Saccharomyces cerevisiae S288C: one gene and its partner. The protein of the gene in region 2 purifies or fractionates together with the protein of the main gene of each other region. This does not show direct contact. Each region holds a gene or a part of one and is shown on either strand. Other genes may lie near its edges.

Region 1 (3,344 bases), on a different chromosome or scaffold from region 2:
CTCTGAAACATCTGTAGATATCTCGTCTGTTCTACCTCTAGCGACCATTTTACTAAATGTTTCTACACGTCTGCAGTATCCTTGTTTTGCTTGTTTTCCTTCTTTCTGTTCTTGTTGATTTTCCCTTTAAGTCCTGAAAATACTATCATGGCGTAAAGGGAAAAAAAAAAACTAATCTTACGTGGTTCTTATAAGATGGACCAGCAAGCTGCATACAGTACACCATACAAGAAGAACACACTATCGTGCACCATGTCAGCCACCTTGAAAGACTACTTAAATAAAAGAGTTGTTATAATCAAAGTTGACGGCGAATGCCTCATAGCAAGCCTAAACGGCTTCGACAAAAATACTAATCTATTCATAACCAATGTTTTCAACCGCATAAGCAAGGAATTCATCTGCAAGGCACAGTTACTTCGAGGCAGCGAGATTGCTCTTGTTGGCCTCATAGATGCAGAAAATGATGACAGTCTAGCTCCTATAGACGAAAAGAAGGTCCCAATGCTAAAGGACACCAAGAATAAAATCGAAAATGAGCATGTAATATGGGAAAAAGTGTACGAATCAAAGACAAAATAATATAGTTGCAATAATAGTAATAATAATAATAATAATAATAATAATAATAATAATAATAATAATAATACCATGTATAGAAGTATATAAATCATACAATAAATTTAAGCATTAACCCGTCACGGACTGGCCATCTTCAGATGCTTCTTCTCTTCGCCAATGCCACAGTCGGGAGGAATCCCCATTTGGTACATCTTTATGGCCAGCTCCATCAAATAATCGATGGCTTCGTTGAAAATTTTGGCCTTATCGATTGTCGGACCCCAAACAAAAATGCCATGTCTCCTCACAATTACGGCGCATGTGTCTGGATAATCTTTAAAAGTCTTGTGCAAGTCATCGATCAACTCGTCCTCATGCGCCATGTTTTCAATGATGGGAATCTTCAGCGTATCAAAAAACGATAGCGCCATGGGTTTCTTGGTCACAGGGTCCACCTTTCCGCTTGGAATTGCTTTGATTTGTTCGATGTTAGCAATCCTGAACTCATCGCCAAATAGCAAGGAGCATATCACAGCATTTTGGGAGTGTGTATGTATTATAGCACCTGCATTTTTCTTTTGGTAGCACGCTAAGAACAATGGAGTACATGCGCTTGGCTTGTAAAGCTTGGGAGAGCGCAAATACTCTAATGTCTGAGCGTCCATGACAAACAAATCCTCAGGTATCATCTTCTCCTTCTGCACCCCAGATGGGGCGAGATAATAATAATTCGTGTTAGGATCTTTTATTGAAATCCCACCTCCAGTTCCGGTGCACCAATTATTATGAAAAAACTGCTTGCATAGCGTGCAAATGAGATTTGCTGGATGGCACGGATCATCTGAATGTATCAGAACATCTTGTGAAGACATAGTCGTTCACTGGCTCCCCTTGTTAGTTCAGTGCTTAAAAACGTTACATATCTTGATGAACAGCTAGCTGCTTTGATCAAGAGAAAAAAAAAAAAAATTGGCACCGCATCTTAGTGCCGCAATCTTACGTAACAAGAGAGCTATAAAAGTACAACTAACAACTCTTCTAATACTTAATTAGATTGAGGGCGTGCGTAGTTTAACGTCTTGCAATGGAAACATGTCCTCTTTTCGACATCATTTTCAAAATCTAAAATGGCTTCTTTCACTTGGGTACCTAAGTCTAACATTTGCAGTTCACTCTCGTGGACCACTTGGCGACAATGAGAACAGTACCACCTTATCTTATCGTTTTCTCCCCCAGGCCTATCTTGTTCCACAACAATACCCACAGTATCAGCAAACCGAACAGGACTGTGAGGAACATTTCCTGGCAATAAATATGAATCGCCTTCATTGATGATGATATCAATGAACTTTGGTTCAGCGTCTGTCTCATCCACAACCTTTAAAAGCATAGATCCTTTTTTTTGATAGAACCATTCGGGAGTTGGATTGATGTGATAACCGGTTCTTTCATTAGGCCCACCGACAATCATCACAGTGAATCCCCCTTTATGTAAGCAATAATTATTCACCGGTGGTTTCAAAAGGCCTTCGTTCTCCTTCAACCATTTGTCGATATTAATTGGTGTAGTATTAAACATTTTTTTCGATTTTTTTGGTAAATGTATGCTATTTCAGTTACTTGTAGACTGTCGTGAAAAGAATAAAGAAAGAATCTTTTACGTCCGTTTTTTTACTTTGCCGAATATGTTTCAGTGACTCACAATTTATCCTGACGCCGTCACAAAGGCAGCCATTCCATTGCAATAACGACACTCTGAATATTCACGAACGTTCACCAGACATTTGGAGGCAGCGTTCTAAATGCCGATACCCGTTCAGGAGTACAGGTGTCAGTGACAGAAAAATAATGGCACCGTTGACGTCGAAAATACATCCGCGCAAATTTTGACAGGCTATTTTGGCAGCGCAATCAAAGAATAAACTTGGTATAGTAAGGAAGCCAGTTACTGTACGCATGAATTACGGTAGCTTTTTTTATTTTATTTATTTTTTTTTTTTTTGGACAAATAGAAAAATTTTTATTATTATGTAAGATTATTGAAGTAAAAATACAATTGGACGAATCTAGTTAGATTGCCAAGATGTGTTAAAAGGCAAGATTAACTTATGAACATGATCTACAACGTCCTGGTTTTTAAATTCGAGTAAATACGCCTCCTTTTTATCTGTGAATGACAGTCCTGTTCTCCCAAGTCTTTTTACATCATGGAGACGGGAGTTATACTCTCTCGGGTACAAGGTTCCTTCAGCATCAGAACAGATCACAAACTTTATCGCAACAACAATTCCTTTATATTCCTGGGAAAATATGTCGGTATAGCCTACTCGAGACGGCTTCCAAACATCAGCTTTCGTTTTAACATGTTGCTGTTGGAATAAAAATCCACTATCGTCTATCAACTAATAGTTATATTATCAATATATTATCATATACGGTGTTAAGATGATGACATAAGTTATGAGAAGCTGTCATCGAAGTTAGAGGAAGCTGAAACGCAAGGATTGATAATGTAATAGGATCAATGAATATAAACATATAAAACGGAATGAGGAATAATCGTAATATTAGTATGTAGAAATATAGATTCCATTTTGAGGATTCCTATATCCTCGAGGAGAACTTCTAGTATATTCTGTATACCTAATATTATAGCCTTTATCAACAATGGAATCCCAACAATTATCTCAACATTCACATATTTCTCATGGTAGCGCCTGTGCTTCGGTTACTTCTAAGGAAGTCCACACAAATCAAGATCCGTTAGACGTTTCAGCTTCCAA
Region 2 (4,602 bases):
CGGCAAACGTCTGCAGAAGAGAGGTATATCGAACATGATGCTTTCATTAACTATTGAAAATTCCGAAGGTACAAAGAGTTTGTCCAGTACTCCAGTAGACCAAATTGTCAAGGAAACAATCAGCTCTGTCCACAACATCCTACTGCCCAATATTATTGGCCAGCTGGAATCTAAGCCAATCAATGACATTGCTCCAGGTTATATCGCTCTAAAACCCTCTGCTTTGGTCGATAACCCTCACGAGGTTCTGTACAATTTCAGTAATCCCGCCTACAAGGCTCAAAGGGATCAGCTGATCGAGAACTGCTCTAAGATTACAAAAGAGATTTTTGAACTAAATCAATCTTTGTTAAAGAAGTACCCTGAAAGAAAGGCCCCATTTATGGTTTCCACTATTGACGCTGAGAAGTATGATTTGCAGGAGAATGGTGTTTACGAATTACAGAGAATCTTATTTCAAAAATTCAATCCCACTTCATCTAAACTGATATCATGTGTCGGTACTTGGCAGTTGTACCTAAGGGACTCTGGTGACCATATTTTGCACGAATTGAAGCTGGCCCAAGAAAACGGCTATAAGCTTGGGCTGAAACTGGTTCGTGGTGCTTATATTCATTCTGAAAAAAACCGTAACCAAATTATCTTTGGCGATAAAACGGGCACTGACGAAAATTACGATCGTATCATCACTCAAGTTGTCAATGATTTAATCATCAATGGCGAGGATTCTTATTTTGGTCACTTGGTTGTCGCCTCTCATAATTACCAATCCCAAATGCTCGTTACTAATTTGCTAAAATCTACCCAAGACAACTCTTATGCCAAATCGAACATTGTGTTGGGGCAATTACTAGGTATGGCAGATAATGTTACCTATGACCTAATTACCAACCATGGCGCTAAAAACATAATCAAGTATGTCCCATGGGGCCCACCATTGGAAACTAAAGATTATCTTTTGAGAAGATTGCAAGAAAACGGGGATGCTGTGAGATCTGATAATGGCTGGCCATTAATCAAGGCCATAGCAAAGTCGATTCCAAAAAGAGTAGGCCTATGAGAGGACTATAATATATACTCCAATTTCAAAGACAAACCAAAAAACCAAAAAAAAAAAAAAGTATGCATACATAATTCTGATGTTCTAGTTATACATATTATATATAAGTAATGATAATAACACTAATAGTAAAGTAAACGCACGGATATCAAGAGTTAATATACTTGAACCACTTAAATAACAATCTGTTGGTAAAGCTTTCTTCCTATTGATTATGGGTTCGAATAGTACCAGATGTTTTGCCAATCCTAAATCGGTAGGAAAGTGGCTTGTCGTCGTCAGGCTTATTATCAACTCTTATGCACAAGAAAGGTACTCATCTTCTATAAACTACATAAGACCTGAATCTAATCAAAGGGAGAAAGCGCAGAACATCAGATTTAAAGCGGTTTTGCTTGATACACTCAGCCTTGTCTCTTTGTAAGGATTTTGGGGTACCTATGAATAATACATCTAGTAGTGTTAGTAAACCAACGTATGGGATTTTGGGATACATAGTTTTCCAGTGTTTCTTATCCGTGATAGTTTAATGGTCAGAATGGGCGCTTGTCGCGTGCCAGATCGGGGTTCAATTCCCCGTCGCGGAGAATTTTTTTAAGCTTCTATTAAAGAAGCTTTTTTTCACTTATATCTGATGGATGATGAATAGCTAGTTCAAACGGAAATCTTTGATAAAGCTATATCAAAATTCAAAGCCCAATAAGTCAGTATCATGAAGTTTATAGCATTAATATCAGGTGGGAAGGACTCGTTCTACAATATTTTTCACTGCCTGAAGAACAACCATGAATTGATTGCCCTGGGAAATATATACCCAAAAGAATCAGAAGAGCAAGAATTAGACTCTTTCATGTTCCAAACAGTAGGACATGACTTAATAGACTATTATTCTAAATGTATTGGTGTTCCACTATTTAGACGCTCAATATTACGGAACACTTCTAACAACGTCGAGTTGAATTATACTGCTACTCAGGATGATGAAATTGAAGAACTATTTGAACTTCTAAGAACTGTCAAAGATAAAATTCCAGATTTAGAAGCTGTTAGTGTAGGTGCCATCTTATCGTCTTACCAGAGGACCAGAGTGGAAAATGTTTGTTCCAGATTGGGTCTAGTAGTGCTAAGCTATTTATGGCAAAGGGATCAAGCCGAACTAATGGGTGAAATGTGCCTTATGTCCAAGGATGTTAACAATGTTGAAAACGATACTAATTCAGGAAATAAATTTGACGCCAGGATAATCAAGGTGGCAGCAATTGGATTGAACGAGAAACATTTAGGAATGTCCTTGCCTATGATGCAACCGGTGTTACAGAAACTTAACCAACTTTATCAAGTTCATATCTGTGGAGAGGGTGGGGAGTTTGAGACAATGGTCTTGGATGCCCCTTTTTTCCAACATGGATACTTGGAATTAATTGATATTGTCAAATGTAGCGATGGTGAAGTTCACAATGCAAGGTTAAAGGTAAAATTTCAACCGCGTAATTTGAGCAAAAGTTTTTTACTCAACCAATTAGATCAATTACCTGTACCTTCGATTTTTGGTAATAATTGGCAAGATTTAACCCAAAATTTGCCAAAGCAACAAGCTAAAACAGGAGAACAAAGATTTGAAAATCACATGTCGAATGCTCTACCACAAACGACAATCAATAAAACCAATGATAAGTTGTACATCTCTAACCTACAATCACGTAAAAGTGAGACGGTCGAGAAGCAAAGTGAAGATATTTTTACTGAGCTAGCCGACATTCTGCATTCCAACCAGATTCCACGGAATCATATTTTATCTGCGTCATTATTAATTAGAGATATGTCTAATTTCGGAAAAATCAACAAAATATACAATGAATTTTTAGATTTGTCAAAATACGGACCTTTGCCACCATCAAGAGCATGCGTAGGTTCGAAGTGCTTGCCAGAAGATTGTCACGTACAGTTATCAGTTGTTGTTGATGTAAAAAATACAGGCAAAGAAAAAATCAACAAGAATAAGGGCGGACTACATGTTCAAGGCCGTTCATATTGGGCTCCATGTAATATCGGACCATATTCCCAAAGTACTTGGTTAAACGATGATGCAAACCAAGTCAGTTTTATCAGTGGGCAAATCGGACTAGTACCGCAGTCAATGGAAATATTAGGAACACCTCTCACTGACCAAATAGTTTTGGCATTACAACATTTTGATACTTTGTGTGAAACAATAGGAGCTCAAGAAAAGTTACTCATGACATGCTATATTTCAGACGAATCGGTTCTCGACTCTGTCATCAAAACATGGGCGTTTTATTGTTCAAATATGAATCATAGATCAGATCTATGGATGGACAAATCTGATGATGTTGAAAAATGCCTAGTTCTTGTAAAGATTTCTGAATTACCTAGAGGCGCTGTTGCAGAATTTGGTGGTGTTACTTGTAAGAGATTAATAGTGGACGATAATGATTCCGACAAGAAAGAAAGGGAAGAGAATGATGATGTTTCAACCGTATTCCAGAAATTGAATTTGAATATTGAAGGTTTTCATAACACTACAGTTAGTGCGTTTGGATATAATAGAAACTTTATTACGGGATTTGTAGATAGTAGAGAGGAGTTAGAACTTATCTTGGAAAAAACCCCAAAATCAGCCCAGATTACCCTCTATTATAATCCCAAAGAAATCATCACTTTCCACCATCACATTGGATACTATCCGGTGGAGAAACTTTTTGATTACCGTGGTAAAGAACACCGCTTTGGGTTGCATATTCGTTCCTAACTCCAAATGTAGGCCTTATATTTTATAAACTTAATAGATATACGCTGTCCACGCTCCTGGCGGTGTAAATGATAGACAGATCCCAAATATGTTAGCAAATCATAGGAACAACACCATATTGTGAACACGTAAAATTTAGAATACGCCGCACAATTAAGGTGTGTTCTGTAATAATTTGATTATTGATGATGGTTTAGGAACCAATATTCATATAAAAAAATGATCATTCTATAAAATACCTTATCGTAACACTTGTACCATGCTACTAACACTGTATATATTTCTGACCCCTAAGAAAAAGCACCTGAATAAGCTAAAGACCAAGTTAAGCTTTGCCCATTGTCTAGGAAATTTCTGTTGAAATCAGGTTGGCTGAAAAAGTCGTACGAAAATTTTGGATCAAGCAGAGCCATATTTAACATGATTATTCCTTTCCAACCGTCATTCACTTGATCAATTATCGGCTGCATTTTTTCTTCCCACTCCTCTTTGACAAAATTTGGTGTTCTGACCCATGAAGATGCTGATGTTATAGGAATGGCGTGAATCATATGAATGTATTGAGGCTCCATGCCAAAATACGTGGCGTGATCAATTTTATTTTCGAATAAAATACCACTAACTTTATTACCAATAAATTCTTTCGGTTGGACAGTATTATTGCTTTCGTATAGGAAGTAGCTCTGGAAAACATTTCTCATGATGCCGAGTTGTAAGTTCGCTATGTCAGTTAACTTAGAATTTCCAGTTACCAACCCCCACAATTTTATCG

What was found.
Region 1: the proteins of DPH6 (region 2) and MDE1 purify together in Saccharomyces cerevisiae (affinity purification with mass spectrometry, with the first as the bait; one large-scale study listed by BioGRID). This does not show direct contact.

Annotation. Positions count from the first base shown.
Region 1 is NC_001142.9:469,532-472,875, forward strand, and holds MDE1 (methylthioribulose 1-phosphate dehydratase MDE1), read right to left. Parts: upstream 1,434-3,344; coding exon 699-1,433; downstream 1-698. Other genes in the region: REC107 (Rec107p), read right to left, coding at 1-48; U4/U6-U5 snRNP complex subunit LSM8, read left to right, coding at 253-582; BNA1 (3-hydroxyanthranilate 3,4-dioxygenase), read right to left, coding at 1,607-2,140; YJR026W (gag protein), read left to right, coding at 3,229-3,344. UniProt on the Saccharomyces cerevisiae protein: Catalyzes the dehydration of methylthioribulose-1-phosphate (MTRu-1-P) into 2,3-diketo-5-methylthiopentyl-1-phosphate (DK-MTP-1-P).
Region 2 is NC_001144.5:425,557-430,158, forward strand, and holds DPH6 (diphthine--ammonia ligase), read left to right. Parts: upstream 1-1,772; coding exon 1,773-3,830; downstream 3,831-4,602. Other genes in the region: PUT1 (proline dehydrogenase), read left to right, coding at 1-1,060; ACF2 (endo-1,3(4)-beta-glucanase), read right to left, coding at 4,121-4,602. UniProt on the Saccharomyces cerevisiae protein: Amidase that catalyzes the last step of diphthamide biosynthesis using ammonium and ATP. Diphthamide biosynthesis consists in the conversion of an L-histidine residue in the translation elongation factor eEF-2 (EFT1 or EFT2) to diphthamide.